Schizosaccharomyces pombe: one gene and its partners. Each later gene encodes a partner of the first gene's protein in a complex. Each region holds a gene or a part of one and is shown on either strand. Other genes may lie near its edges.

Region 1 (7,878 bases):
ATGCTCAATCAATTTCAAAATATGCAAAAGCCTCCTCGAAGACGTTAGTTTACTTCCCTCGTTATTATAATGTACTCACATATGGCATATTTTACTCTAATACCTTATTTACTGTTTTATAAAAATATATGCATTAAAAATTCATCGTCCTTCTCGTTTTCCTTTTTCTTTCCCTAATTACTTAACGTTTGCTTTTATAATTGTGTAAAATTTGTTTCTATTTCTACTGAAGAGCTAGCAAAGTTTGCTAAACCGTAAACGTGAAGCATCCTTGTATGATTGCTCTCGACAATTATTTGCAGATTTCTTAAGAGCTCGGTTAGCTTATGTTAATTGCTCTTGCTTCGTAAAATGAGAATTGGATTTATTGTATATTAATAATGGTAGTGTATTGAGAACATAGTTTTTTAGCCGATTAGGATTAAGTTTTGGGTTTTCTCATTCTATGCAATCACATGAAAAAGCTTCTTGAAAGTTTCAAATTTGTGCTTTATTAATCTAATTACTAGTTTGAACAATGAAGGATACCTAAAAATAGGCCAAAAGGCTTGTACGTAGAAAGCATAAATTAGAACTAACGGCAACTGGAAGCTATATTTGAACAGAATGCAGAGATGAACTTAAGTGGAAGATTCTATAGAAGCATGAATTTTAATATATTCGTTGAAAGAAATGGTGTTTTAACCGAGTCTTGAGACAAATGTAATTAGAACGATTTGTACTTACAACATTAAAGAATTGAGCGAAAAATGAATGGCACTTAAAAGTAGTAATGTCAAGCTTATGGTTCAAATACCTGTTTCACAATGAAGCGTAAATGGTTGAAATGATTAAATCCCTACCATCAAATCCTGTAGTGTGTTTATATAAAATCAAAATAAGTTTTACTATCTATTAGCTTTAAACATAAGGAGAAATTAAACGGTTTTATTGCTTTATGCCGTGAAATTGCAAGTCTCGAATAAATGCCTATGACTTTTAGTGGAACCAAAGCTTTTGCTAAATAAAAGCCACCAAACAATCTATTAGATTTATTTCCTACAATACGATTTATAGAATATATAAAATTGACATGAATTAGAAATTTTTTATATTCTGGTTTTATTAACACACATCTTTCGATTAGCATAACATTGAGCACTCTACTTTAGAGAAAATCATTTTCTTCTATGTCTTTGGCAAACTTTCCAACGATAGAACTTGATTACGATAGTTTGAAATCAAAAATTTCGAATTTCAACAGCATCTTCGATCGATTCTTGCAAGAAGAGAGAAAGAAGCTTCTGAATAACAAAAATGAATATTTGCGTCAATTATCTGAAATTAATGGTACGTTTATAGTGATTACTCTGCTTTTTTAAGTTAACATTGATCTAGAGGCACAAAAGAAGGCAGAGAAAAGCCTTGAGCAAACTGAGGCTCGAAAACAGAATTTTACGGAATTATTAGAAAAAGAGCATGAGGAGCAAGCTATTACAGAACAGGAAATATTTTCGTTTCAAGAAAAGCTTGATGCAATGTTGAAAAGGAAACAAAAGCTCTCTGAGGAACTTGATCATTACCGCGCAATCATCTCGTCCAAAAGAGAGTTGAGGGCTCAAGAGATGGAGGCGAAACGGAAACAGGATTCTTATAATAATCCAGAGCTTAAATTTTGGGAAGATTATTTGGGCTTGAAAATGGAAGGAGTTCATGACGAAGTCATCAGATTTATATTTACAAACATTGATGAAAAAGATTGGAACAAACAATTTTCATTTCAAATCAATCTTGCTGAAAGGGATTATAAAGGTAAGAAATCTTTTGGGATTAAAAAAATTATTATTTAGATTTGAGCTTAAACTAATCCCTTCAGTCGTGCATTGTCATCCACCTCTACCACATGTTGATGATTTGGTAAACAAGGTTAATCGCACTAGAGACTTTTATCAGTTTCTGAAAGATATGCGGAAGGGATTCCGTGAACTTCATAGAAAGGATCTGTCTCAATTGATTTAAAGATCTTCTTCTTGTTTAACATAAACTTCCTCCTCGTCTTCCATGTTGGCTTCCACTGTATCAGGAATAATTTCGCCAGATATGGCTTCAGCTCCAGCATGTTCATTCTCTTCAGCATTTTCCATTAATCTTTCTTCTTCTGTTTCTTCAAATTTGGATCTAGCTTCTTCGTTTTGAAGCAACATCCTTTCAAATTTCGCAAGTATGCTCAAACTGGTGGAATCCATGGTGAAACCATGCTATACATTATTAGTTGAAAGAACCATTTTGAATAATTCTCGCTGAATTAGTATTAACTTACACTCTCGTATGTTTCTAATTTGCGTTTTGTCCTCTGATAATCTGATGAAGGCAAGTCAGTAGGGATTTTAAGCTTCCCCAATAAGGATATCATAAATTTTCTCTCTTTTCCTACATTTGTTGTTAGTATTAATGTCGTTTCTTGTATTTAATCCCCACCTTCAGAAGCATTAGGTAACGACTCAAAAATCATGTTTGCTAAATGTAGATGTACATTATGATTTAAAGCGATATAATCATCTCCTGTTTGTGTTTTTCTTTCATACAACTTTTCGTTGTCAGTCCAATCTAACATTTGCTGAGCTATGTGTCCTATGCTTAATTGAACATCATCTTCATCAAGATCGCGGTATATTTCTAATAAGCTTAATAGTGCATCGCAGAATATCTAAAATGCTGTTAATTATCTATTGTTTGTTCAATAAAAAATAATGATAATTTTCCTTACAGTAGCTATTCGCCATTGATTCTCGTGTGCACCAAAGGCATAAACAGGAAAGAAATAGCCAAGAACTTGCCGTAGCGCATGATTATCAACTGTGTTAGGCTCAAAATATTGAATGATGAGGGGTTTTAGAAACTAGTTGTTGTAAGTAAGTTATAAAAACACAGCAACATACCAGTTCGTCTCTGTAATGCAATATTACCAACAACTTGGCTATCGCCTCAGCACCGAGAGTCTGTAATTCGGCATTTTCGAATTCCCCTAAAGCTTCAAAAAGTATAGAAGAAATAGCATCTTCATATTCGGTGAACTTGGCTTTTCCATGTTGTATTAACATATCAGTCAATGTACGAATTGCGGTACACTTTAAAACCACAGAACCTTTCTCGTAACAATGTAAATACAAAGGAACGTTTTCAAATGCAAGATCAGCATTCAACAAGCAAACCAAACTAAGACACTCTAATCCTTTTTCTCTAATTGGCAAGTCATGGCTCCTCACAGCCGGGATAATTAAAGTCTTAAGCATGTCTACCATATATAAGTTTTCATTTAAGGAGGATGTGATGTTTTCAAATAGACACTGAACGTACGAAAGGCATCTTAACTCATTAAAAGCTTCTTTATATCCATCCATGTCGTCAGGTTCAGGCTCATTTAGTTCATTAGGTGGTAAAGATGGAGATGGTGACTTTTGCGAAACAGTAATCTCCTCACCCTCATAATCATTTTTATTCAGTTCTGGAGCATTGCTGTTCCCTTGTTCCTCAGTCTGGTTTTGTGAATGTCCTTGTTCAAACACCTCCGTAATAATTTCAACTAGCAATGAGCAAAAATCGTTTTCAGAAGAGCAAAGTTTCCTTAATAGTTCTATATGTAAAGAGATTAGTGAATCTGGAAGGGCCATAGTAGAAAGACTATTTGTAAGACTCTTTAAAAGCTTTCTGCGACCAATTTCATCAACCATGTCCTGGCTTAGACCAATGTATAACAGTTGTTCAATTATAAAACATGACTCATCATAAGAAGACTTGTCTCTAAGAGAAACATACTGCCTTTCGATATAATATGTAAGTTGAACAACTTCAGGCATTTTATCCAAAAGGTCAGTGTAATTTTTCTCTATACAAATTTCATTGAATGTCCTAGCAAGCAAGGAAGACTCAGCTGTAAGCTCTAACCAAAATTGTTCGGGGAATTCCAGCTGAGACAAACTATCCACGCGTACATCAAAGAATTTTTTAATTGCTAAAACTGCAACATCAGAGTTGTTAGACACATCAAGTCTCTCTAGAAGTTCCAAAAGATTGTTATCAGCGTTTTCAATCCACTGATATGCAAGCATATCAGCCGCGGCTTTTTCAACAGATTCATCACGATCATTTAATCCCCATTTCAATATCCTTACTCTCTTCTTTATGCTTAAATAACGAAAATCTCCTATTTTCGGTAATACTCGGGCATAGACACATTTTCGATTGGCAGCATCAACATCGCGTGCTCTTTCAAGAATAAAAGGGAGAGTTGAGTTGCTAACTTCAATATTTAAAAGAACAGACCTTCGCACTTCAGAGCTAGGATCGTTTTGCAATAAAAATAAAAGAATATTTCGAACATCGTTTTCTTCGTCACCGGTGTCTTCTTGAAGCCGAGATAAAGCAACAACAGCTTCAAGGCGGACTATCGATTCCCGGTCTAAAACTCTGGACAAAAGCTTTTCTTTGAGGGTATTGTAAAGGTCATCATCAATTTCTTTTACACAATTAACCACTCTGGCAATAATTTGGCAGCAACGATATCTTACAGTTTTATCTTTGGCATCTAACCCACGAAGTATATGTTTTAAGATAGGTTGAACAATGTCTATCTCAGGATCCTTCTGCTGAAGGTAATTAACAAAGGTTACTAGGAACCTCAAAACGCGGTCAGCATTTGAGTTTCCTTTTTTAACAGTTAATATAATATTTAGCGCCCTTAGGATGTCGGTTTCAAATCCTTCCTGCGTCCGTAGGGTAAACAATTTGTTGCATAGCTTTCTATGACCAGCAATTGAAGTTTGACTAGATGAAATAATTTGAATGCAAGACATATTCAATAACAATTATATTATGCCAATTTTAGTGCTTTTGCTGAAGTTGAGGAGCACCTCACTGGCATACCTACAGTTGGCTCTCAGTGGTAGGTTAAGCTGGGGTATGCAAACAAAAAAATGAACCCTTCTAGCTTAGGCCCACTTGAGATTGCAACATTCAATTTGAAAAGAAGATTGCTACCAAGTTACCGATTTATATTTTATTACAATCAATTAAAAGAAAAGGAAATACTAACTGAAAATGATATAGTATGTAAAATGTAAAAGAGGGAATATTAGAGACTAAGTACAATATATGGATCATTATTAAAATATGCAAGTCCTAACCATTGGTGTAGTCAAGTGAAAGTTTTTTTAGTCTCTCAGTAGTAGAGTGCACAGTAGTAGGGTTTTGAGATTTAAGTTTCATAGCATTCTCTTTAGCGATGTTTTCTAGTATAGTCCATCTTTCTTCTCGTATAATTTCTTCATCTTCTTTTTTCCGACGACTCTCAGAATACTCAGCATCAACTTCATCGAATAAAGAAGGATTAATGTCCATGAACAATTTTAAGACGTTACAAACCATAGAATGTATAACTCTAACAAAACGTCAGCAAGAACTAATAAACCACTTTCTTTATCTTAAATAAAGAAAATAAAAAGGGATTTTAAATGAGTAACTACTTACCTATTCCAGTGACTTTTTGAAATTTCAAAGAGTGCGGGATATATAATTGGTAGTATAATGTCAACGTTTTCTTCAACCAAATGCACGAAATAGTCGTTGTTAAAAAAATATAAAGCTCTTTCAGCAACTTGGAAATTTTGGCTAGATATGGATGTTGCCAACTTGTGGAAGAGCGGCACCTGGATCTTTAAAAACTCTGAAGGTTCCATCACTTCAATAATATCTTCAATTTCATTTAAAAATAAGACTTCTTTTGAGCTATTTACTTTCGGCCAGTATCGAAGTAAGCCCAAGACAACCTATATTGTCATCGTTAGATAAAACGTAAGAAACACTAGGAAATATACATACCTCTTCTGTAACAGATGAATCCTTTTCAACAAATTGAACAATTCCATAAGCAATTTGAGGGTAATAAAGGGGAAGGGATTTGGCTTTATGTAAAGGAATAAGAACACGTGACAAGAATATTTTGTGTTCCTCTTTTAGTGGTAGGGCAAATCCATTAATGATACTCCCGAGGATTTCCAACAGTTCGGCAATACCATTAAATTGCTCGTTCTCATAGACAAACTGCAAAAATAAATTATTAATTGAGCGCCTTATGAACGCACGAAGAGAAAGAAACTTTCCGTATATTCTATGAAGTGTAGTCTTTAGAAAATCACGTTCCCTAGGATCTTCGCTGTCGAACAATACAAGTAATTTCCTAATAAATTTTTGATTAATATACACCTTGGCTACGGATGTATTCAAAGACGGAGATTCAAAAAATCTTAAGAAAAAATCGTAAACAAGGTGAAGATGGGGCCAAGCAACTTCCAAAGCCGGCTCATCTTCTTCAAGATCCATGATTTCACCGGGAGGATTAGAAGGAGGAGGTAAAGGACGAAACACATTTACTGCAAACATATGAACAATGGATGGATACAATGACTCATCAATTGCTTCCTTTCGAACAGATATTAAATCAATGAGATCTTGAAGAGCCTCTCGCTTCACTTCTTTTCCGTAAAGATCGGTGGAGGGATCGTTGAAATCGAAAACAACGCAACATTGTTCTAATTTTTCCAACGCCAGAGAGTGCCATTTATTAACAGGAACATCTAAATAGACAGGTTAGTAAATTAAATTGGTTGACAACAAAGTATATTGATAACACCTCAGTGTTTGTCAACACCAAGTACATTAAATCAGAAAGAAAATCCTATTCAATGTTTGTGGTTTAAATCATCTCTTAGTAAAATAAAATGAAATGTGAGAAAAAATGGAAGGATTCCTTTTTCGATATCAGACACATCAAGCTGAACAGTAAATCCACAAGCGACACCAGCATGTGCCGCATTGAACACCATCCAATTTCATGACATTCTAATAAGAAACAAAATCTTTTATAACTACTTAAAACAATCAATGAAGTGTATCCATAAAACATACCAGTAAAGGATGGAAGACGGACCAGGTTTCGATTTTCAGATATATGGTAAAGGGATGAACGTTGTTTACGAACAGTCCTGACATTCTCTAATAAGATCTCATCTCTAGGAGTTGGTGTGGTATCAATAGGTACTTTCTTTCCTGAATGTTTTGGAACAGTAAGAAAGTCGTTTTGGGCACCAATCACAGAACCATTGGGATCCGTCGAGGGAGACTATGAAAATGTTAAAAGTAAGTAAAAACCTTTTCCGTACCTCTTTCGGAGCCTTGCTAGAGTCATGGGAATTCGATTTTTTGCTTTCCTTCTTCTTGCTAGACTTCTGGGTATCTTGAGATTTCCCTCGAGAAAGCTAGATTCTGGTTAATCAAATAAACACTAGATATGGATCTTACCATTTTGCTTTTAATCCCTTTCATCTTGAGGGCTATTTGGAGCGCTCCAACCCTTTCTTCTTTGAAGCTTTCAAAACAAGCCTACAAATTTGGAGACAAAGGGAGTTCAATTTGAAGCTGTTTAGCAGCTCTTATATAACCGTAAAGGCGCTTCTAAATAGCAAAATTTTCGAAGAAAATTCAGCCGCTTTCTGAGAATTTAACACTTTTACTGCTTTTTTGGAATGTACCGACAGGTGGAGATCCGGTCGAGGAAATACCGTGTAGCAAACACACATAACGAAACATAACACCACTTGAAAATTTTGTTTAATGTACCGGTACGTGAAGCTACGAAAGTACAAAAGGTCGTAATTTTATTTAACGATTCTTTAATGTACATCGGAAAGTGGGTTTGACAATAAACAAAGAAAATAAATGATACTTACCCAAATTTCTGAAAAAAAGCGTAATTGTATATGTTGCTTATAAGCTTTCTAACATCAATCTCATTTCATAATCTCCCAATAAGTTAAAAAATTTACAGCAACGTGCTAACAGTAT
Region 2 (7,807 bases), on another chromosome or scaffold:
GGCTCAAATTGAAAAGCATCAAGCACTGCTTTTTTATCAGAGGTACTACATAAGTCTCTAACACCCGATTCATCAGCTACATAACTGCCAAGGATGTGACCCCCCGAGAGATTGTTTTTTTCTCGAACATAGTCATCACCTCTAGCGCTCCGAACAACATCCAAGGATGGAGCGTAAAACTGAAGCGAGCGTTCGGGAGACATATCAGTCATGAGTACCTCTAGGGTCTCATCTTCAGGATCAAGGGAATCTTCCAGTAAAGAATAATCATCAGCCAGATCAGAAAACAGATGCCAGTGATTCTTGTTTGTCGGACCCACTACATAAGAGCATCCACTTGGAAAAAACAGTTGTAAGTAACGAACTTCTTCCTCCCAACTCGTATGTGGTGCAAGCTGGCGTTCGGGATATAAAAAGTTTTTTCTTGAGTAAAAAATACGAAGAGGACGATCAAAGCCAACACTAGAAGCAATTTCTAATAGGCGAGGCAAACTAGCCAGTAGTGTAGTGGTTCCGCATGTTTTAAGGATAATTTTATGGGCAAACACAAACATAGAGGATTCAGAAAGTAAATATGCATCTATTTCTTCACTATTAACAACGCTGAGGACTTTACATTGGGCTTGGGCTAGCATATCATCCCAATCATTGCGAGAAACAGCTTTTAGTCCCAAGTTAGCCTTTTCACCCGCACTTAAATTGGTTTTTATAGGAGCCGAAAACCATAGTTCCAGCAATTTTTCAGGACCTTCAAATGAGGAGGTGTTAAATTCTTCCGAATTCTCTTGATCAACAACAAGGGTAGGAGACATTTTAGAATATAGTCATACAAAGAACTTCCAATGCTATATGTGCGCTGTGAGTGTAATTCCCAAAACACGTACTAGCTAGTTGCTCCAGTTACACTTTTAGGATATTTATTAGCAAAAAAGCATACAAATAATAACTTAATTGCGGCTGTCGCACCAATTTTATATGATGTTGAGGCTAAATACATAACCACAGAAACATCCTGTATCGATCAAAATTTTAAAACCCTACCCTAAATATTTTTGAATATGCTACAAATGACATCGACGCTAATAATAAATTTGGAAATGATGAGTTTACGATATTTTATACATATGATACATACCGTAGTCTAAGTTTCATTAGCGGCACAAACAACTTTAAAGAACCAAAAGTCTTGTTTTTAATGATTGGTAGAAATATTCTTTAAATAAATTAAGACATCGGTGATAGTAAATAGTAGGACTATACATGCGCGTATAATTCAAGTGTTTACGTTCAAATTAGCGAGCTTGTACCACAGATGATCCGTCCATAAATCGTACATGAAATAGTCGATTAGCATTGGTAAACATTCCTTCTTTAAGGCTAACAATAATAAACTGAGAACCTTTAAACTTTGTTTTAATAAGTCTTCCAATGTTTTGGGTATGACTTAAATCGAGCGCCGCGTCAATTTCATCTAAAATGTACATTGGAGCAGGCTTATATTTAAGTAGAGACATAATAAGAGCCAATGCAACTAGAGACCTTTGTCCACCACTAAGTTCTGCCAGACTATCTTTCCAAATTGACCCAATTTTTACATGAATTTCCAATCCATCAGTGAATTCTTTATTCTCTGGTGGCTGTAGTTCTGCACTATTACCAGGAAGTAGTTCGTCAAAAATTTCACCGAAAGAAGAATTGACTTCTCTCCAGGTTTTTTCTAAGGCACTCCTTTTAAACCGATCAATACTTTTGACAGTATCTTGGATCTTTTTCTTATCGCGATGAATGGTCTTTATCATAGAGCGCAATTTGGCTTCTTTCTTTTCTACACCGTCAATCATGTCCATAACCTTGGGATTAATAGCTTTACGCATACTAGCAAATCGCGGTTTCAAATTATGTAACTGCTCTCTACACTGACGCATGTTTTGAGAGTGAAAATCGAAAATGGTTCCTTGCTTACCAAAGTGCTGTTTCTGTCCATCTATCCAATCATTTTCCTTTTCCAAATGATTAATAGCAGTTATAGCAACTGATTTTTCTCGCTCTAATCGGTCAAACTCGTGGTTCAGCTTTTGAATTGTTAGCTCCCCATTGTTTATTTCAGATTCGAATGTTTTCATTGAGGTACTGAGTGAATCTATCTCTTTGTTAAGTCCAGAAAACTTGGCGCTTTCAATTTCTATTAGTTCGGTGAGTTTCTTTCGATTATGCTCCTCATTAACAAGTGACAGCTCAAGTTCTGCAATTTCCGTCTTTATTAAACTCGTGGTCGATTCACCTTGTACGAGAGATTGCTGATGGTTTTGCAATTCGCCTTCTAATTGTTCACATTCGAGTTTAACGCCATTATAGTCATTCTCGGACTTTTCCAATATAGGAGTAAACTCGTCTAACTTGTGCTTGTATTGATTAAACTCCTTTTCCAATTCAGCCATTTTTGATCCCTTGTTATGTTTCCATTCTTGCATGTCTCGTTCAATTTTTTTTATAGCTTGGTCACTTTGCAATATAAGTCTGTCTAATTCAGGAAGCCTTTGCTTGAGATCTTTAACGTCGTCTTTGTACTGCTGATAATCAGATAAAAGACGAAAAGATGAGTCGGTCTCTCTTTGCTCTATCAAAAGTGTTAATTCATGTTGCTTTAGTTGAATTTCTTGCTCAAGTCGATGAAAATTGGCATTTTGAGTCTTTAAGTCTTTAAGTTGAGTCTCCAACTTTTCATATTCTGAAGTAACTACTTGCAATTTTAGCTGCAGACTGTTCAGCTTTTGTATCTGTAGTAAAGGACCGGCAGATTTATTCACAGACCCACCAGTAAGGGTACCAGATGGGTCATAAACATCACCATCAAGCGTGACACTTTTTAATTTAACTGAAGGATGAAAGGTAACTTTCTTTGCCGATTCAGGGGTATCACAGACTAATGTGGAGCCAAAAACATACTGCATTGCAGGCAAAAGCTCATCGTCATAACCGATTAATTCCAAAGCAAGTTGGGCTTTATTATTAGAAATTTTTTTGGCTGCGCCTACTCTCTCTGCTGAAGCTACGAAGCTGGTAATTTTGTTGAGGGGAATAATAGTAACTCTCCTCTTCAGGTTTCCTTTTTGAAGCAATTGTGCACCAATTTTCTCGGTTTCAACAATGAGATTATAAAGGCGGCCACCAGCTGTAATTTCTAATGCAGTTTGCTTGTCATAATTCTCTTCATTCAAGGTTAGCAATTGAGCCACCAATCCTTTCACCTTTGAGCGATCAAAATTAGGAGTAGGGTCGGTATAAGTAAATTCCATATAAGCAAGTTTGCTTTTTAAAGCATCAAGTTCATTTAACAAATTGCCGCGATCTTTAGCAAGTTGCTTCAACTTTTGCTGGAGTACATCTTCACCTGTAATGTCGGAATTTGTATTTTTTAAAGACATTTTAAGCTTCTCAACATGGTTTTGTAATATATCGATTTCGCGATTGAGTTGATCACATCGTTTTGTAGCCTCAGCCTTCTTAGGTTTAGTTAAAGATATTTGTTTATTGAGTCCTTCAAGCTTTAATCGATTGGTTTCTTTTTCAGCTTTAAAGTCATTCAACGTATCTCGAGCTTCGTGTAGTTTTCTAGAATAGCCAGTTTCATGACCTTCTGTAGTGGAAAGACCAGTTGTAAGTGATGAAATTAGCTCTTCTTGAGACTTGAAATCCTTTGAAATACTTTGATGTTCATCTTTCCTTTTTTCGTATACACTAAGCACTTCATCTAGTCGTTTCCTTTTTCCGCGCAACAAAGTTTCTAATTCCTTAGCTTTTCCACGAATTTGTTGAAGGTCCCCATGCTCTTCCTCTAAAGCTGTATTCTTTAATTCTATCGACGTGCTTATTCTGGTGATGTTTTCATTAACAGTTTGTAACTGAGAGTCCAAGGTACGATCCGAAGAAACACTCATTTGTCTCATTCGCTCATCTTCAATTTTTTTAATCTTTTCCTTTAGTATTAAAACCTCCTGTTTCGATGTTTGTAATGAAGATTCCATCTCGGCGATATGGCTGTGCTTCTGGGATGCTTGAACCGTTAATTCCTCCACTTTAAGTGACAACTTATAATAGTCGTAAGCAGTACAAAGATGGCTTAATCGTTCCAAGTCATTATAAATATGTTGATATTCTAGAAAAGTTTTTTTTTCTGTACGAAGTTTGGTAAGTCGGGGTTCGATTTCCTCTCTTAACAGTGTATTAATCTCCTCAACCTTTGCTTCTTTTCGTTGCATTGTTCGAAAAGCCTTTTCTTTCCTTTCTTCAAACATTCGAGTACCAGAGGCTTCTTCAATCATTGATAAAATTTCAGTAGCCTTCATATTAAGAACCTTGGTGATTCGACCTTGCATAATTAAAAAATTAGGATTATTAATATTTAACTGAACAGACTGGAACAAATTTTGAACATTCTGTTGCAGAGCTCTATGTCCATTAATCAAATATTTGCTTGTACCGCCCATGATAATTTGTCTTGTAACGCTTACTTGCGGGTGATTCTCGAAACCAATTGGTGAAGACGCAGGATCCCGATTATTAAACACAATGGTAACGCTAGCTCTGGTTATTCCTGCCTGTCCGCGTTTGTAAATTAAGTCCTGTAAATTCTGGGCACGGACAGTCGACATATTCGTAATTCCCAAGACAAAGCATATTGCATCTAATATATTACTTTTTCCAGACCCATTGAGGCCCGTTATAGCATTAAATTGGTCATCCCAATTGCTAATGACAGTTCGCACAGCATATGATTTGAAACCATCAATGATGAGTTCCTCTATTTTCATTTCTTCAGTAAATTTCTCGTTCTGTTTGTTTACTGAAGCCCAAGTATTTAAGACTAGAATTCAAAAAACTGATTGACTTGTAAAGTATTTCCTAGAGGGAGATAAATCTTCAGCAGTACATTTCAGTCCGAACTGTTTGCTGTTTAGTGTAAAAATGATTAAAGCTGTTTGTCGTTTAAAGCATTAAAGGTGAAATAAGACTTCATAGTAGATATAAAAGAGTGCGACTACTCTAATAACATTTACCGCAACGTTAAACTACGTAATGATGCTTAGTATGCAAAAAGCTTACCGCTATTAACATTTTAGATTTATTAGTTTATGTATTTTAATACTTTCAAGTAACTTGTTTAAATTCTTTTTAATTTAAAACATATATTTTATCTTTTCTGTTATTTAACTATATTTGATAATCAGTACTGCACTCACTACACAAATGGGGCAAGGTGAATCCATTCCCAGTCGGCAAATTCAAAGGGACGCAAGTATGCAGGCGGTTTCATCAGAAAGTGAAAACATTAATGATTCAGATCGACAAAATTCTGGCTTTAGTAGGCTGTGGAATCGTTTTCCCTCTTTGCAGCGAGTCTTAGGTCTTCGAAGAGCAAAGCGGCATCGTAACGATGAAGGCAATTCGGAAAATGGTAATCGTGATAGAACTACTGAAAGATCGGCTTTTCGTTCTCGCTACCGTGGTTCGCTTTTGAATAGGAATTCTCCTTCTCTAAGGTCGTTAAGTCCACCAGCTACACCAGCTACTCCTCGCTCTCGTATAGAAGGCGAATCACAAACATCTGCAATACCTCAAACAGACAGGTTAATCCTTGAAAATCACCAACAGGAATTTGAACGTGCTGCTAGAAGATTTCGTTCTAGTATTGCTGCTTTACGCAATTTAAATACCCAAAACAATCAGTCTACGTTGGCATCGAATCATGAAGATGAAAACGTCAGTTCGAGCGGTGGACAGGAAATGCAGGATCATGGCTCTGTAAATAATTTAGAATCTCCGGGAACTGCAATTGGAAGATTGCCGGTAAGATCTGTCACTTCTCTAGCGGACTCAAATATGGAGGACTATACTCGTGCGGTAATGAACTATATTAATAATAGTGAAAATACTCAACAAGCATCTGTTTCTCCAGAAGAAAGTCAACTAGTCATGCTTTCTCGATTTGTGTTTTCAGTAGCGTCTGGTTGGGTTAGTGTACTGATGAATTCTTCGAGTGCACATCAATCAAACAATTTAGAATTTCCTTCTTCAATTTCTGGAAATGTGGAATCTGGAAATGTTGCTTTCGATGAATTTTTATCGCTTTTGCACGCTGGTAATCTGGTGCAGGCGATGAACGCAGAAACTAATCCTAGGACTGCAGAACTAATTGCAAATGCTGTGGATCTTGAAGAAGAATCTGGTCCTATAAACCTTTTTCGAACTTTTAGATTTGACAATTTACACCGAAATCATGAAGGTCAAGAAGTAATCCCGATTATAATAGTTGGCATCCGAAGTCTAAGAAATTCAGGAAGTGATGAAGATGATCAACCAAGTGCCGATTCCCCAACTTTAATGCATCCTTCTGATTTGATATCTTCACTTGTTAACTCGCAAAATCAGACAACGTCCGTTAGTGATAATACGGGGCCAAATGAAAATGTTAATGAGGCAGAACATATTTCCGAAGACGAGCAAGCTTCTACTGCTACAGACGTAAATGGGATTTCCGATAATAATGGATCCTCCACTCAACAAGCACCTGAAACTAGAAATAATAATTCGCAAACGGACCACCAATTGCCCAGAAGCTGGGCCATATACGTTCGAGAAGCTTTTGTACCTCAAAATCATCCTGTTTTGAGAGCACCTTCACTGTTTACTGATTCACCAACGTACGAGGACATGCTTTTATTGAATTCTATTATCGGTATTGAAAAGCCGCCAGTGGCTTCACAAAAAGACCTTGAAAAGGCAGGTGGTGTATTCCCTTTTTCGGGAACCGATGAAAGATGCCTTGTTTGTCTATCAAATTTTGAGTTGAACGATGAGTGTCGCCGTCTTAAACAATGCAATCATTTTTTTCATCGTGAATGCATAGATCAGTGGTTAACTTCAAGCCAAAATTCATGCCCCCTGTGTCGTACTAAAGGTGTTGCTTCAGCATCTACTCCGTCCTCTCCCAAGCCATAATCAACATGATCAATCATCATGACAATTTTGTTGCTTTAAAAACTTTTCGGATTCCTTCCACCAAAACGATTTTGAATGTATTTACCCATATATTTTATTAATGTTCCTTGTTTCCTTTTAGCTATGAGAATTTAAAAGGGCATGTCACAACCCTTCCTCTCGACCTGACGATCCTTAAAGCATAGCTTATAAAGCCAAAACGGGCTTGTTTCCTTTTCTGTTTTCCATTATTTTTGTTTGTTTATATGATGAATTTTCTATGGTAAGGTAGACTCCATTGATGGACTGATCATCTTGCTATTTTCAACACCCAGTCTCGGAAAATGGTTTCTACAATGAGGCCTATTTAATATTCCTTGGATTATTTATATCCTATATTGATCAGTTTTTCACTTTGTATAATTTTATATCTGATTTTATGCCTAACTTTGCTTCAAGTGAAAAATGTTGCCTAACTTTTTACGTTTTCAATGCGTTTGTTTATTTCTTAATAAAGCTAAGTAACAATGGTCTACTTGATATACGGCTTGTCAATTTATTCAATAACAAAAAACTGTTGTTGACTTCGCATCATCTACTATTAAAGCAATAAGTATGAAGTTTGTATGTAAAATCATGTTAACTGTTTAAAATCCATTTAAATTCGAAGCACAGCTTGGGAAGTATATTTTCTAATACCCAATAGGGGAGAACGGAATGTAACGCAACTTATCATAGTTTGCTAGGAAGATATATATCAGGTGGGTGACTCAATAAAATAACTCCATCGACCTCCTCTCTCATTTTGTTGAAAATTAGTTACAATGAT
Region 3 (8,566 bases), on another chromosome or scaffold:
ATGAATGGTATAAGGAAAAAACCAGCAACCTTGCAACTCCATAATATAAAAACCAGCTGTTTCATTGATGGCAGTGATGATCAAAGCGATAGAACAAGGTCAAGTTCTGGAGATAGCACCTCTAATTCACTGAAGCTATCACATCATATATCTGACGAACTGATCAATGCCATATATAAAGAGTTAAAGTCGCCAGTATCACCTTGGGACAAAAACATTTCGCAGCATTCGCCATGGCTGTTGGAAGCGGCATCGAACTCCATTGGTGATTCAAGTCCTTTACTTTCACCAATCTCTCCATTAAAGTTAAGATTTCATAAATATTCGGTTTCGAAACAGCTAAACAGCGTTGGAAAGCAGGGTTTTGGTCTTTCTTCAAACCATAGTCGTTATGCCTCACCATCCTCCCCTGCACGGCTTGCAAGAGGTGCACTTGGTGAGGAACTTAGCAATTCGCAATACAGATTAGAATGCGCCGCAATTCAGAAGCTTGTTGCTCAAAAACGAGCCAATAGAAGGAGTAGTAAAAGCACTTTAAAAAATTCTGCAAATGATATAGAGTTTTTCGATATTGAAGAAGTTTCCTCTCGCAAGGGACTAATAGACAGAACACCTTCTAAAAGAAATGTTACTTCCCGAGTTTCTGATGCGTATTCTCGTCTTAAATCTGCTGTGAAAGGCGAATCAAGCTTGTCCTTTAAAAGAAACCGATCGAAATCGAAGAGGAAAATTCAGCACCTGGGTTTGACTGAGTTTAATGGGTGGGAACACCATCAGTGCGACTGGCTATAAAATAAGTGTTACTCAGATGCTCCATGTTAGGCTACATGGTGCTAGCCATGTGGTAATTAACATTCATTTATTTCCTTCATTACTTTCTTCCTTAGTCCTCCTATCTCTTATTAGCTGGAAAGCTTTTATCATTTGCATTTTTCTTGTTAATTGGTCTTTCATTTATCTCGTCGTGTGCATTGAGATTTCCTATTTAAGTTTACGACTCATATTGTTTAATCTAATTTATTGTTTGTTTCTAATTATTCTTAATTTACTACCATAAAATTAAATTACTTAAAATTGGATACGTTCTATATGGTATGCATACGATTGCAATAAATCTTTAAAAGCATTACCCACTAAAATATTATACTATGTAACTACAAATTGTAGATACCTTCTGAAATTGATGATGTAAACAACATATTTAATTATATACAATTCCTTTGCGCAGATTTTACAGGCTTTAAAAGCGAGTGAAGATTAATTTTATATATTTGTAGTCCTATTACGTTCATAAACAGATTTCTGAAACATTAACATAAACTGGGTGCCACAAAACTAAATTAGTTTAATCTTCTCATAACATAGATTTATTAGTATGCACACTGTGAATTATGAAACACTGACATTCAGTAGCCAAAAATTCGTAAATTATTAAATATCTAGTTTCCAATTTTCTACGTTTTTATTTGAATGTGCAGTTAATCTGTAAGTATTTCCTTGTTGTTGATTGTGACACTCTTAGTCATATTCGCCGTTTTATAAATGCCAACCAAACGAGAAGATAACTCAAACATATTACTTCTTAAAGAAATAACAATAAACTGCGCGTTTTTAGTTCTTTCCTTAATGTAATTCGCAACAATCGAAACGTTTTTAAAGTCTAATGCAGCATCGATTTCGTCCATAACGTATAAAGGAGTCGGTTTGTAATTATGTAGAGCAAAGACAAGGGCTAGAGAACTTAACGTCTTCTCTCCTCCCGAAAGGTTAGATATGTTCTTCCAAGATTTTTTGGGAGGCATCACACTAAACAATACCCCCTCAGAAAACGGATCCAAACTATCCACTAACTCAAGCTCTGCGTTTCCGCCCATAGTAATAATTTGATACATTTCTTTAAGCTTCATAGATATAATTCCAAATCCGTACATAAACTCATCGAGCCTCTGAGATTGAAGATCTGTAACGACTTTTTTCAAATCGGTTCTTTTTTGCAATTCACTTTGGTAATCAGAATCACGCTTTTCTGCTTCCTTGTTACATCTACGATATTCAGACAAAACATTGATATCTACTTCTCTGTCTTCAGTTTTCTTTTTCAAGACTGAAATATTAGAGACCAGCTCGCTTTTATCAACTGAACTCAGTTCATCTTCAGAATATTCGGGAAAAGTTGAGTCCATTGTTGTCTGGTCACAAAATTCAGTCAAATTGTGTAACTTCAGATTTGACATGAGCTTTAAATATTTATTTTCATTATTGCCGACCTCTGATAATGCCGTACGCTGCTCTTGAATTTGATTTTCCAATTCAATCCTTTCTGCTTTAACGGAATTCATTTGCTTAGATTCAAATTCAATAAATTTTACTAGTTCGTCGATAGAGGAATTGATGTCCCATAGAGCATTTTCAAATTCGCGGAGCCGAGATTTGTGTTCATCCACATACTTGTTTAACGATTGTAGTTCAGTCTTTAAAGTGGCTATACTTTCAGTAGTTGTATCGTACTCGCTAGTAAGGTTTGATAGTTCAACTTGGAAAGATTGACTGCGTTGCTCATTCTTCTTCTTCTTGAAACTCATTTTGTTAAGCTTGTCTTTAACAAATTTGAGTTGCTCATGCAAATCGTCGACCTTTGATTTTTGTATACGATATCGAATCCCACCTATTTCCATGATCTTATCTTGTAACGTCTTAATTTCAGTGACAAGGCCTTCATTGTTAATATTTATGGCCTCAACTTCCTTGTCCATATTTGATATTTTGTTTTGGAGATTCCGTTTACGTTCATTGTTGTTTCTAATACTTTTTAAATCGGATTTAAGCTGCAAGATTCGCCTCTCTTCTCCAGCTACCAATCTATCACAAGCAGAAACGTCAAGCTGCAGCTTTGAAATCTCTAGTTCCGCCGATGGAATACGTTCCGAAATTTCAGTAAATCGCTGATTAAGGCTCTCCAGCTCACTTAGGTGTTGGCGATATCGAGTGTCTTCTAGTTGCACTTGTTTATCACAAGTCTCAACTGAAGCCGGCGATACATCACTCGTTATAGCTGAGGACATTCCGCCTTTCTTTACTCGAGTACCACCTCCAGTCATTGTGCCCGATTTATCAATTAACTGACCACTTAGTGTAACAACTCTCCAACGTGTTTTGCCATACGCAATTCTATTAGCCTGTTCCAAATTTTTAGCAACTAAGGTATTCTGCAAAACGTTATAAAACGCAGGAGCGAATTTCTGATCATTAAACCGAAGTAAGTCGAAGAGCCGGGGAACATTCTCAGGTGTTTGGATACGAGCTAAATTTTTCTGCGCCAGTTCTTTGAGAATAATAAAACTAGCACGGCCTAGGTTATTGGAGCGCAGAAAAGCCACACATTTCTGTCCAGTTTCAATATTGTCAACTACAATATGATTTAAAGCAGGACAGGCAGTTGAAATGGCCACATCATAAGCCTCGTCAATTGTAGCCAAATCACCAAGACGTCCAAAGAAACCATTTAAATTATCAGATTCATGAAGTCTTTGAAGACTTTCTAACACATTTCCACGAGATCTAGAAGAACTTAAAGAAGCTTTCATCTCCTCCAACTTTGTTCTGTTTGACATAAGATTTCGGTAAGTATTGTGAACAGTTTCCTTCTTTCTTTCAATGTTCTTACTAACATCTTTCTTCTCTCCTTTTAGGTCGGAAAGCACTTTAAGCTTAGAAGACAGGATATTCCGATTTTCTTCTGCATCATTACGCAGTTTATCAAGCGAAGATTGAGAGGACTCAACATCGTTAATTAGATCATTTTCTTTATTTAATAACATATCCAACTCAACCTGTAAAATTTGTTTTTCTGATGTCAATTGGTTTATTTTCTCGAGGGCGGGAGCCATAGCCTTTTGCTTTTCTTCAATAGCATTTGAAATACCTTCCGTTTTTCCCTGTAGACTTTTCCTAATGTCATCCAAACTCAATTCTTCCTGTTGAAGTCTTAAACTGAGATCGGCAATTTCAGAATTCAACTTTTGGGAATCAATATCATGAGAGCTTAAAGAATTTTCTGCTTCTGATTTTTCGAATGAAAGAGCCTCAATGGATTTCTTTAACTTTTTTTCTTTATTAAGTAAAAATTTTAACTGCTCTTCAATCTTCACAGTCTGTTGTTCATAAGACTGGCGAGTTTTCTTCTCTGAAGTACAATCGTTTTTTACTTTTGCTGCCTTTTCACGCAATGATTTAACCTCTTCATTTTTTTCCGAAATATCTCGCTCGGTTTGTTCAAATTTCTCTAAATGTGCTTGTAATTTTCCTTCCAAACTATTAAGCAAGTTTTGAACTAACGTCTTTTTATTGCGTGTTTCGTATAGAATAGTACGGTAAAGCTGATTCTGTTTCATAAACAACTCATTTTCGTCTTTGAGAAAAGAAAGAACCGAATTTTTGCTATCTTCTAATTTCGCCTTTTCAGAGAGCACCAGTTTTAAACGAGATTCTTTCTCAGCACAGATATCATCAGAATTCGAAAGTTCTTGCATATTCTCTTCTATAATTGGCTTATATTTCGAGGTTCCGATGATATCTTCAAGATATTCAAGAAGACCATCATCACCTTCTGATATAGCCCGGGGCTTCATTTGCGCTATTGATTCGACTTCTCCTTGAAGAATTAAAAATCTCTTATGATTCAAGTCTATTCCTTTCTCCTTTAAAAGATTAGAAACTGCAGAAAAGGAACTCTCAACCCCATTTACAAAGTATTTACTAGTATTATTTTTATAAGCAGTACGACGAACTGTTAGTTCGCTTCCATCAACATAAGTAAAGTCAGAGTTTACCTCTTTAAAAGTAATTTCGACATCACAACTATCGAGAGAAGGATGAGTTGCAGATTTATGAATTAAGGCAGACGCTTTGGATTGCCTAAGTTTACTAGCACGAAAACCGAAAACAAAAAGTAAAGCATCGATAACATTAGATTTCCCAGAGCCATTTGGTCCAACAATTGAAGAAAAAGAAGGATGAAACGGACCCACTATCTGAGTTCCTGCATATGATTTAAAATTTGTTAGGCGTAGCTCGTAAACAACCAGTCTAGGAGGAAGAACCTGAGTGGTTTCTTCACAATTCTCAATATCCTCTGTAGTAGTAAATTCTGACACAAGTTGTGAACTCCGTTCATTGAAACCTGTTGATTTAGATGGAGTGCCATCTTGAGCAGACATAAATTTGTTGAGCAAATTAGGGCGTTCGTTTAAAGAATCGGTAATTCTTTTTTTTAAAAAGTCATTGAAAAATGGGCGAGATGGTGTTTGCTCTATCTTGACAATTGATGCGACATCTTTCTGAGAAGGAGATTCTAGCACTGAGCGAACCAACTTTCGTGGCCTTTCACCACGATCTGGCGTAACATCCACAATCGAGGGTGTTGAAGACGTTCGAAAGATGCCCTTGTCAGACATAAAGATAGTATCTTCAACAAATTATATATTACTTAAAATTCTAAAAGAGTGGGTGGTCGTGAAAAGAGGTGTGTTGTTTACAACGGTTGAACAGCATTTCACCCAACGATGAAGTCAATTAATGAATAAAATATACAAAAACCCACAGTTAAATTACACTAAAGCCCATGTTTATAAACTAAAGACTGAAGTATAATTGTGTAAACAGGTCATGTTAGATGAAAATGATCTATTTATTTTATACCTACACACCTGATTTAAAGGAAGACTTCAAACATCTTTTTACCTGTAATTATAAACTCATGTGTCTATTATACATTAAATTATTATGCTAGTCAATTTGGTATTCTTGGACGTTGAAAGTTAACTCAAAACGAAAATTAAGTAAAAGAGAATATTGCTCTGACACTTTACACTAGCAAAATATTAAAAGGACGAGCAGAATACATTGCTGTTTCTAAGTTTTTACTAGCACAAGCAAACATCCTCTTTCAATTCACACAATAAATATAAAGCTCAAAGATTTTTTGTTCTGTATTCCTTCATTAAATCTAGCAAGACGACGCAAAAATTTACCTTGTTTGGGTAGCCCTATGTGTGAAATAACCACGAATAAAGAATAATCAGTAAGTAATATAAATAGATTAGCTCTTTAAATGAAATGTTAATGCAAGGAAACGATTTGTCCAAGTTTTTTAGAACAACTTTTCAAATTCACTATTGTTTTGTATTTTTTTAGCTTTAAACTTGACAAGCCTTTTGCCATATGTTAATTTAACCCAAAATTCTTACATTTTGATTTAAACTAATCAAACGCAAATTCATATCTTCAAGCAATTGCAAGTAATTTATCTTTAAAACATTTAAATCTGTAAACATAGATTATTATATGCTATCTATGCTCACTTGATAACTTAGCTAAACTCTTCCTTCTTTATTTATTTATTTATTTTTTAAACAAAAACTAACAAGTCCTCTTAGTTTTTATTTATTTACGTTAAGTTTCTTTTTTTTAGTAAATAATTCCAAACTTAAAAAAAATTTTATAGTGATAAAACCTAGCAATGGACTTTATAATAATGATACTTTAGTTAATTTTTTTGTTGTTATTTGGTTATATCTCTATCACTAAACTACATATTTATTAACTATTAACTATACTTATAATTAAAACTCTTCTGAGTCTTAAAATAAAAAGCATATAGAATTGATATAAAAGATATTTAATATCTAAAAAAAAAATTAAAGGGTTGGCAATACATTTATCTAAATCAATTTGGTAATGCATTGGATCATCCAGCAGCCTGTTCCATCTTACTACTTTAAAAGTTTTTCTGTTAATTAGCATTAGATATAACGATGCACTCGCTCTGTATAACCCAGGAGGTTAGTTTTGTTTACCATCAATTCCTTCTCGTTATTGCAACATAGCGATGCCGCATATCAGATCAAAAAAGCCGCGTGAGTTTCTGTCCTTGCAGTTCTCCTTTACAATTAATTTGGTAGATGAAGGTGTTCTTACGGGGAAAACGAAGTAGCTAAATACTATAAAACATGATCCTTAATAGAAGAATTCAGGTGATTCTCCCTACCCTACTAATCTTATCGTTTATTATATGGATCTTTCACAGTGTTATGGTAGACAAAGATTGGCGTCTGTTTATGCCTGAAATTAAATCGCTTCCGGATCGAGAAGGTCAAGGTAGAAAACCAATTGAGATGATGTCCACGAAGCACGATAATAACACGAATAATTTAATGGTAAATGCATACTGGAAGTTAATTCATACGGTTGTTTCCAATTATCCAAACAGACCAACATTAGATGAGCGAGATATCTTAAGACATTATCTATTTTCTTCCGCTATTACAATGCCATGTGGTGAATACTCTGTGGAACTCCAAAAGATACTAGATGTACATCCTCCACAAACAAGTTCTCGAAAAGCAGCAACTACGTGGGCTTGCAAAGTACACAATCAATTAAATGAGAAAATGAATCAACCAAAGACATCATGCGATGGATTTAATGAGAGATATGTAATCGGATCGCCGACCTATCGCGAAAGCGAAGCTGAAAATGTTCCTGAACGGGTACAAGTAATTAACGAAGATCACGACTATTCTGGTTGATAACAATGGTTAATTTTAAGAATTCATGTATTATTAAAAAATATTACCGTCTATCATGCAATGCATTTGGATGTTAAGCTATTTATTTAATGAACCCTAAACTGATATGTTCAACTGTTTACCACCGTCATTTCCACTCATTATTCAGAAATGTTATATCGTTATGCATCAAAGTTATATTAGAAAAAACATAGAAATCACGTTACGGCCTTAACATGTTATGTCGGCTACTATTCACACGATCTGCCAAGCTTACAGAATCACCAGAGTAGATCTCTTTTCTCATATTTCTGATAAAATCTCCTTGGTTATCCCATTTTCTTGCGGTATCGCGTCTCTCTTTTTCCAAAAACTGTTCTTCATCTCTTTCTTTCTTTTCCAATAGTTCAATTTTTTTTCTTCGTGACTCATCTAATTCCTTAGCATTGTCTTGCATTTTCTGTAAACGGCTTTCTATATCGGTATGCCTTTGAGTGATAGGTTGCGAGTCTCGAGAATGAAATTGGTGATTTCGAGTCCTGAAATCCGGAGATGGTGAACGAGAATATTGTCTGCTTGTTCGCACATATTTTTTTAGGTCTCTTTCATCTTGAAAATGACCCTGATCAAAGCGCATATCATCATCGTAATGTTTCTTGAAATAACCAGAGTCATATTTATCTCGATGCCGATAGCGATCATTGTGTGTGCGTTCTCTCCAATTATTTCGGTCATTACGGTAGCTTCTTCTTGAATGCTCCCTTTTGTCAGAAGAATGTTGTTCATTATCTGACCTTTCCCTGCTTCTGTCTTGATTGCTTCGATGATGACGATCGCGGTGCCGCCGTTCTTTCGACTTTCTATCAGAGTCTAAAGAGTATTTCCTTTTTTCCATAAGCGTTTGTAGTTGTTTTTGTTCTTGTTGCTTGATTGCAAGTAAAGGATCTAGTCGCAACTTTGCCTGTGTGTCTTGTAGGGAGTTCGCGTTTTGAAGAGCGATA
Region 4 (8,156 bases), on another chromosome or scaffold:
TTTCCCCATACAACATCGCCTCCTTTAGGAAGCATAGAACTAACTCCTCCCATAGTGCGAACCATCATGGCTCTCTATTAAAAGTTAGAAAAAGTAGAGCACATTTGTATTTTTGAATATACCTCAGAACGGGAAAAAAATTTTTCCAAACTAAACAGTAAATTAGTAACAAATCTCAACAATTTATTGCTTACCCATAGACCGAAAACTGATTCAATTGAGCTTAAAACGGTTAGCAAAAATTAAATATTAACATGTTTAATGTAATTACAATACCTGTATCTTTCATTTCACCCGATAAAAGCGCTGCCACTGTTTTGGGTGCTCCAATCAAAGATCCCGATATCTATTCAAAAGTTAGAAACGTAGTCAAACAACCATCGAGACTCACATTTATAAATGCTTCAATATGATCATTAACCCAAGTCGGTCCACCATTTCCGTAGCCCTCAGCTTCAACCCACTTAAAAAAATAGTACGTAACCTGTGAACCCATGGAGTGAGAAATCAACACTACCTTTTTCTTATGTACAATGTTGCTGTACTCAATGAACATTTTTAACTTTGAAAAATATTTATCACGTTCCTCTAAATTTGCATATGATAACCGCCAATCGTAAGAAGCACTTAACATGTTATTAGGCTCATAACCAATTGCAGCAAGGTTTTCAATTACTTTACTCCAAATCCAATAGCCCGTGATAAAAAAATCAGCTGCTTCAAACCCCTGAGCTGCTCGCAGCTTAATTCCCTTCGGATCCAAGCCGGTTTTTTTATCAAGCATTAAATGTTCAAGCCAGCATTGCTTGTCAAGGAACATTGCCTTCAGCATAGACCAGCTACCCCAAAGACGTTTCCTAAAGTAAGGAATCGAGCAATTATTAAACGACCAACTTTCTAATCCTGAGCTGATAACACCAGGAACCATAATAACAGGATGGTCACTTCGATATCCCTCATTGTACATATCAAGACCAACTTGAACTTCATTTCCGCTAGGAGACTGCGAAGGCTTGTCCGTAGTAAAAGGTGCATCCTTAAACACATTATAAGATAAATATCCTTTAATGTCATCAAACAAGTCTGAAGAGCCTAGCATATTCCCAAATTTATCTAACGTAGCAGGGTCGAAAACAGCATTGTCGTCTCCAACAGCGAAAAAAAAAGCACCGCATATTCCCAAAATAGCGCCCAATATAAAATTCAATCTTTTTCCAAATTTAGATTTTCTTGATTTATTTGAAACAGATTGTGTTTCGGACGCTGAAGGTTGCTCACTCAAAGCGCGAGTTGGTTTCTTTGAATTTGGTAAGTCGATAGGAGATTTGACTTCTTTCTTTTTCTTATGAGTTTTGCTCTTCTTGGAAGACGCCATAGTTAACTTTAAAATATGAATTGCTTGAGCAGCAACTGCCAAACATTCGATAAGTAAGCGAAGTCCTTACTGTCATAGTTCTACAGCAGGAGTGATAACGAAGTGAGCGTTAAGTTGCTTTAGAAACACGTTTAATATCGGTTTCCTTCTACAATTGTATTTTGATTTAGTGTCTAAAAGTTTGAAATACCTTATTTCTAGTTAAACTGAGTTACGTTACAATGCACTTATACTCAGTATATGCCGATTATATTTATTATCAAAACTTCTAGCCTGAGAGGATGATGACAGTTCCAAAAAATGATCTCTGTTCAAGTATGTAATTTACCAATATTTGATACAGCCTAAAATTGAGAAGAGTTCCTCAGTTTTACTTAGCAGTTAATGAAGGTGAATAGTTTTCTAGGGTAAAGTTAAATCTTCTTCATAAGCACAAAAAATAATTAATGACCCAGCTAGAATGTGCAAATTACTTAGCTAATAACTAAATTACCTTAACTTGCGCTTGAATTGTTTAATTGTTGCAAATAATGGGTGTTGTAGATCAATGAAGTTATAGTTATTAACATTCAATTCGTTATAAAAAAGGTATACCGTCATTCTTCTTTTTAATTAGGCAATACTAATATACAAAGGATTTTGAATATGTAAGATAAAGCATTAGAATTGACTTTATTCATGATATCCATCGTCAATGAGCTTTTGAATATTATCGGCTTTATGAGGAAGCAAAGAAAGTGCATACACCACATGATCCCATTGACGTTGAGTTTTACACCGATCAAGACGAGCAGCCAGACGTTCGGCTAATTGCTTGGTATGTCTTTCTTTTTCAATAAAGGACGTCAAGAAACGAATGATACGCTTAAACTTAGCGTCGTCCTCATCCTGCTCCTCTGCACTTCTAGATAATACACTGAAGATATCAATAAAGTTATTATATACAGAATTATCCTTGGCTGCAAAATCAGTAAAAAACATTCGAGCAAGATCAGAAATTCGAGCATCTTCGTCTTCCAAAGAACGAGCCATAATACCCAGCTGGCCCTTTACTTTTATTTGACCAGCTAAAATCAAAAATGCTAGAGTCATAAAGCATGTCTTTTTGACAGAAGACTCTTCATCCATCAGTCTTCTATATAAGTATTCGGATATTTCATCAATAAAATGATTGAAACAAACAGTTAAATCTGCTAACCCGATTACTAAGTTGTTTCGAATAATCGGATTATCACATTTCTCCAGAATGGTTATTAACAATGGAAGATGTTCCATACAAAAATTGTTAGAAAGACACATAAATTTGGACAAAGTCAGAGAAGCAGCTAGTAAAAGGCTTTGATTATTGTGCGATTTATGATTTGAGCACAATTCTACTACCAATGGAGCAAATCTCGAAAGTAAAGAATTCTCACCATAGAGCAACTCCCTTTCACGAATAAATGTCATTGCTTCTGAAAAATCATCTTCACTTGTTCCCGTAATTAAATCATATTCAGAAGTTTCTTGCCCATTTATAGGATTATTTGAGTTCTGTACGGCCAATCTCTCGGCGTCCGCTTTTCGCCGTTTGAACTCTGCCTCACAATATTCGATATAGACTAATTGTTTAATCGCGACATGGCCTACTAAAAATATTAAGTGCGCCAGTCGTATACCTATTTCTTCCTCATCTTTTAATGTTTCTTCTTCTGGAGAATCATCTAAATCTTCGTCCATTGCATGATCATCGTTACTGGTAGTATTCTCATGATTGGAAGGTTTGAAGAGTTGTTTCGTCAAAAGCAAAATAATGTTGGTACAAAGTTCGTCAGGATGTTTGGCAACTGCATATATAGCCTCAATAGCTTGCTCTTCTAACCCAAACCACTCTTCAGAGAACGATGGTCGAAGTAAAAGCATACATAATTTTTGACAAAGCGTATGCGAATTTGGAAAATTAATATTAGAAGAACCAGACGCATCTTTGCCAATACGTTTAATCGCTATACATGTGTACCTTGCAAGAACTAAATCCTCCAAACCAGGGGGACCAAGTCCTATTTGAATAAGATGATCCAAGCCCTGCATGACAACATCGGTATTGCCTAATGCTAGCATTCCAATTACTATGATGGATCCTCTACGTTGTGTTCGAGATATATCCTTCTTTTGATAACTGTATACTTGCCATAGTTTTGTTATGACTAGATGTGAAAAATACCCATCTTTCATCAAAATGCAAAGCATCTGTTCAAGTGATGTAAGCTCAGCAAGGCTAGCATCATATGTTAATGAAATAAGATTTCTCGCAATATAGTTTGCGGCTTCGTTGGTACCAGAGTTCGGAGGTGGCTCAAAAAATAATGTTTTATAACATGACAATACATGGTTCTGAATGTTGTTCCCTTCGTCGGAGGTTCCTTTTACCCAAATTAAATGAATCATTTTTTTTATATATAATTTTGAAGACGAAATTCCAAAAGAATTGCAAAAAACAAAGAAATCCATTGACTCAATTACCTCGCTCTTATTTTTAGCAAACAACAACTGGCTTATTATTTTTGCTCCCGCTTCCACAATGTCTATATATTGGAGTGCTTCTAAATAAAACCGTTTCGTTAAATTCACTTTGACTATTTCCTCAGCAGGAACAGAATCGACATATTCGCTTAGAGAATTTTCCAAGTGACTTTCTCCTTCATGTGACTCATCATCTTGGATCATAGTAGCATCCTCTAATAAGTTTTCATCGACTTCAAGCTCTGAATCTACCACCTTTTCTTGTTGCTTTGGTTGTAAAGAATTAAGCTGTTCCTCGATGATAGATAATCCTTTCTCCCAAATATTTCTGGTTAGTAAGCCATTGTGCATAACTGAAAAAGGATGGGTAGTTAAAAGTTTAGAAAATAACTTAATTGCATTTCGGCGGACATGACTTGACCGATCTTGCAAACATCTGATCACGAGTTCCGCGATTTCTTGACGTTTTCTGGGATACTTAATTGGTAAATCAAATATTTTGATAAAGACGTGAAGTACTTTAGTACGACAGTAAGGGCTTATATCTAGTAATCGCTCACTGAGAAGATCCATTAAGCTTTGAACAGTTGCTGGCACTGACTCTGACATTTCATTTTGAGCCTCATCATGAATTTGATCAATGACCACATTAGCAAGTACTTCTATGATAGCGCATCTCAGAGTATATGATTCCGAATCAAGCAGCTTAACTAATTGAGTAAGCTGTTTCAAACATAAGTTTGGAATAAGTGAAGAAAGACGGACAAGAAACAAAGCGACTTGCTTGGGACCTTTAACATCGTTATCATTAAATTCTAGAGAGCACAATGTTCGAATAATTCCTTCAGCCAAGGTAACGGAATTAAACTGAACGGTAACAATATGAACAAGATCAGCAGCATACTCAGATAAATGCTCAAAGTATTGTAAATTTTGAATAATATTTGTCTCCGCTGCAGTGGTATGGTTATGGAATTGAACAGCAAGCCCGATAATATTAAATAAACGAGAACGGAAAGAAGCATTTTTTATGTTAATTTCACTTTCCATTAACGTGTATATTGGTTTTAGGAAAAGTGAAAGAAACATGTCTCTTTCCGAAGAAGTAGTCCATACACGAGATAATTTTTTTTGAAATAATGTTATGATTGCATCTAACAAAGCATTTACATGTGAGATACCATTCCAGTTAGAGTTAGTAGTTGGATTTTTTTTTCTTCCCTTAACAGTATTAGTGGATGACCGAATAACTGAAAGTTGATTTGAGGAAGAAAGGGAATTGACCGTGAGCTGAAATGCAATGCCTGTAGTTTCTAAATTCGTTTGAGGTACAGTAAAATCAGTAGCATTTGCGGAAATCATATCTTCAAGAATAGCGGATTCAGAGCTGATATTACTCGTGAGTAAATCATATACTTTATTCCTTACAGAGGAAGAGAGGTCAGCAAAGTGTCTAAACCATTATTGTTAGTTTGGTAAAATTGATATATAGTAAACCAAATGGCTTCCTTCTATTTGAATAACACAAAATAACAACTACTTACGAACATATAGCAAAGAGTTTTTCCAAGCAATCCTCGTCGAAACAAGAACTCGTTCCTAATAAAAGGGTATCAATGACGTCTAATTTTTCATTGTTAGTTATTGTGGAATCGATCATTTTCAATTTTTTTAAAAACCCAAATGTCCATACCGTTAACCACGGCTGTCAATCCAGCATTTTCACATTCAGCATAAATCGAGTCCAAGTCGGAATTTTCTTCATCATGAATGTATTTCTTTAATCTAGAAAGAAGATCCAACGACATTGAGGCCACTGAAAGCCGAATCTTTCTATGTTACGAATGAAATAAAAGATGGATTTGGCGTACTACATTCTAGTAGTCCTTGTAAACAATAACCCCACCTATATGTCCTGTGTGGGGGTCCATTTATACTTTCTTACTAACAAAAAAGAGCTACGGTTAGTCAAAATATAAAATAGGAGCTAGACTTAATTGTTGCTAACCACTTTAAGGATATAGAACGTGCTTTTATTAACTCATTTGTTTACATTAAAAAATAATATTTTAATTAACTTTTATTGAGCGTGCCACGTAAAAGCTATTGTTCTTTTTAGTACTTCTAATTAAATGTTTTGAAAAGAATTTAATATATTTTTTGAATAACGTTAGTTGTAAATTCTTTCTTGAGCTGTATTTCTGATATAAAAACTTATAATTTATTTTGGCGCATGTATCATTTTCAAGGTGATTTTCAAAATTATTATGAATGCAAATTTTGACGAGGTAAGCATTTGTGCTGTTTTTAGAATTTTAAAGTAATACACAATAAACTAAACAGAAAACCTATCGTAGTTTAACTAGGAATAAATTTCAAATTCAGGATAATTTTTTTATTTATTTTTAAATAACAGAAAAAAAAAACGTGTTTGAATACCATGGTTAATCATATTTACTCTCAATGTCCAATAAATAGTCAATTCTAGTTGTTTATGGTGGTTATTAACAATAACAAGAGCCCAAAGGATTTATGTTTTTTAAAGCAAGTCCTAAATTTAAAAAAAGATAAAGGACATGAAATCTTAATCTTTTCCATAAGTATACAAATATTATAGCAGAGTACTTTTTTTATTAAACAAAAGTTGGATTAAAAATGTATTTTTCTTGTTTGGAAGTAACAATGTCCCTCATTAGAAGAGCATTTTGCTTAACAATGTACAACTGGTGTTGAACCTGGAATCTGCAAATTCTTATATTCATGGAATGAGTTTGTGTTACACATTTTAAAAACTTGATTTTTTTGAATCTTAGTATTCGTTCGCGTGTTCGGTTTGAAGGTTTAAAATACGTGAAAATTTGTTTTTTCTTGGTTCCTTCCCTTGGCAGCATTTTACCATTTAATTGACGACTCTTTTAATTTTTTTTAAGTTATTATTTGGTTTAAAAATATATGAGTTAAACCGTTAACATGGCAGAGGCCCATATCACACTATCACCTAAAGTAACTCATGAACAACAAACAGATATTGATTCTGAATGTGAAATCACTGAGGTGGACGATGAAAATGTAAACGAAAACAAATCTCAAGAAATGATTCAAGATATCCCTGCACGAGACCGCGAAGAAATTGAAAATATCACAAGGACGTTCGTAGAGCTACAAGAGAACTATCGGCTAATTGAAAAAATTGGAGAAGGTAAACTTCAATTACCGTTTTTAGTACTGTTTTGAAACTATCTTGCTAATTCGTTTAGGTACGTTCTCCAGTGTATATAAAGCGGAAGACCTACATTATGGGAGGTATATTAATGATTGGGACATTCAAAGTGAAGTGTTAAAGGAATCTTCTTTTGGAAAAGAAAAAATTCCTGTTAATGAAGACAGCCGGAAACCGAAGTACGTTGCTATAAAAAAAATTTACGCGACAAGTAGTCCTGCTAGAATATACAATGAATTAGAAATCCTATATTTATTAAGGGGATCGTCGGTAATAGCCCCGCTAATAACTGCTTTAAGAAATGAAGATCAGGTACTCGTAGTTTTACCCTACTACGAGCATACTGACTTTCGTCAATATTATAGCACTTTTTCCTATCGCGATATGAGCATTTATTTTCGATGCCTTTTTCAAGCTATGCAGCAAACTCAGACTTTGGGAATCATTCATAGAGACATTAAGCCTAGTAACTTTCTCTTCGATGTTCGTACCAAGCATGGTGTCTTAGTTGACTTTGGATTAGCAGAGCGTTATGATGGAAGACAACAATCACATTCTTGCCGGTGCACTAATTCAAATGCGGCCGAATTAGCACATGATTTTTCGATTGCGCAGGAAACATCTCTTGGATACATAAAAAACGATACTCGACCAAGCAAACGGGCCAATAGAGCCGGAACTCGAGGATTTCGAGCACCTGAAGTATTGTTTAAATGCTCATCTCAATCACCCAAAGTTGATATTTGGTCTGCTGGGGTTATTTTGTTATCTTTCCTTACTAAACGTTTCCCCATGTTTAATTCAAAGGACGACGTGGATGCACTCATGGAGATAGCATGTATATTTGGAAAAAGCGAAATGCGCCAATGTGCTGCTTTACACGGTAAGAACGATCTAATGTCCCTTACGGAAGTGTTTGTGTTGATTTTTTTCGCTAACCTGCCAGGTTGTACGTTTGAGACAAATGTAAGCACGCTTACAGAAAAAAGAGTAAACTTTAGGAAACTTATTTTGTGGGCCAGTTGTGGTTCAGCCAGTATATACAAAGAAAAGCTTCGT

What was found.
Region 2: cnd3 (region 1) and cut14 share a complex: the UniProt entries of both Schizosaccharomyces pombe proteins name them as parts of the condensin complex.
Region 3: cnd3 (region 1) and cut3 share a complex: the UniProt entries of both Schizosaccharomyces pombe proteins name them as parts of the condensin complex.
Region 4: cnd3 (region 1) and cnd1 share a complex: the UniProt entries of both Schizosaccharomyces pombe proteins name them as parts of the condensin complex.

The regions. Positions count from the first base shown.
Region 1 is NC_003421.2:1,475,258-1,483,135, reverse strand, and holds cnd3 (condensin complex non-SMC subunit Cnd3), read right to left. Parts: upstream 4,934-7,878; 5' UTR 4,833-4,933; coding exon 2,919-4,832; exon of another isoform or gene 2,879-2,918; coding exon 2,747-2,878; exon of another isoform or gene 2,687-2,746; coding exon 2,458-2,686; exon of another isoform or gene 2,410-2,457; coding exon 2,300-2,409; exon of another isoform or gene 2,238-2,299; coding exon 1,995-2,237; coding exon of another isoform or gene 1,856-1,994; 3' UTR 1,792-1,855; coding exon of another isoform or gene 1,378-1,791; 3' UTR 1,330-1,377; downstream 1-1,329. Other genes in the region: signal recognition particle subunit Srp54, read left to right, coding at 1-48; Ndc80 complex subunit Spc25, read left to right, coding at 1,170-1,329, 1,378-1,791, 1,856-1,998; serine/threonine protein phosphatase PP2A regulatory subunit B-56 Par1, read right to left, coding at 5,158-5,416, 5,506-5,804, 5,857-6,611, 6,943-7,156, 7,197-7,292, 7,336-7,359. UniProt on the Schizosaccharomyces pombe protein: Regulatory subunit of the condensin complex, a complex required for conversion of interphase chromatin into mitotic-like condense chromosomes.
Region 2 is NC_003423.3:2,876,558-2,884,364, forward strand, and holds cut14 (condensin complex SMC subunit Smc2), read right to left. Parts: upstream 4,812-7,807; coding exon 1,293-4,811; 3' UTR 1,130-1,292; downstream 1-1,129. Other genes in the region: S-adenosylmethionine decarboxylase proenzyme Spe2, read right to left, coding at 1-812; SPOM_SPBP4H10.07 (ubiquitin-protein ligase E3), read left to right, coding at 5,248-6,999; ubiquinol-cytochrome-c reductase complex subunit Qcr10, read left to right, coding at 7,803-7,807. UniProt on the Schizosaccharomyces pombe protein: Central component of the condensin complex, a complex required for conversion of interphase chromatin into mitotic-like condense chromosomes.
Region 3 is NC_003423.3:1,001,011-1,009,576, forward strand, and holds cut3 (condensin complex SMC subunit Smc4), read right to left. Parts: upstream 5,514-8,566; 5' UTR 5,454-5,513; coding exon 1,479-5,453; 3' UTR 1,253-1,478; downstream 1-1,252. Other genes in the region: SPOM_SPBC146.02 (uncharacterized protein), read left to right, coding at 1-792; erv2 (sulfhydryl oxidase), read left to right, coding at 7,008-7,586; protein Cwf25, read right to left, coding at 7,789-8,566. UniProt on the Schizosaccharomyces pombe protein: Central component of the condensin complex, a complex required for conversion of interphase chromatin into mitotic-like condense chromosomes.
Region 4 is NC_003423.3:3,197,667-3,205,822, reverse strand, and holds cnd1 (condensin complex non-SMC subunit Cnd1), read right to left. Parts: upstream 5,736-8,156; 5' UTR 5,686-5,735; coding exon 5,571-5,685; exon of another isoform or gene 5,501-5,570; coding exon 5,422-5,500; exon of another isoform or gene 5,397-5,421; intron 5,331-5,396; coding exon 2,048-5,330; 3' UTR 1,837-2,047; downstream 1-1,836. Other genes in the region: phospholipid--diacylglycerol acyltransferase Plh1, read right to left, coding at 1-74, 123-150, 195-222, 277-346, 392-1,375; Dbf4(Dfp1)-dependent protein kinase Hsk1, read left to right, coding at 6,848-7,076, 7,135-7,980, 8,044-8,156. UniProt on the Schizosaccharomyces pombe protein: Regulatory subunit of the condensin complex, a complex required for conversion of interphase chromatin into mitotic-like condense chromosomes.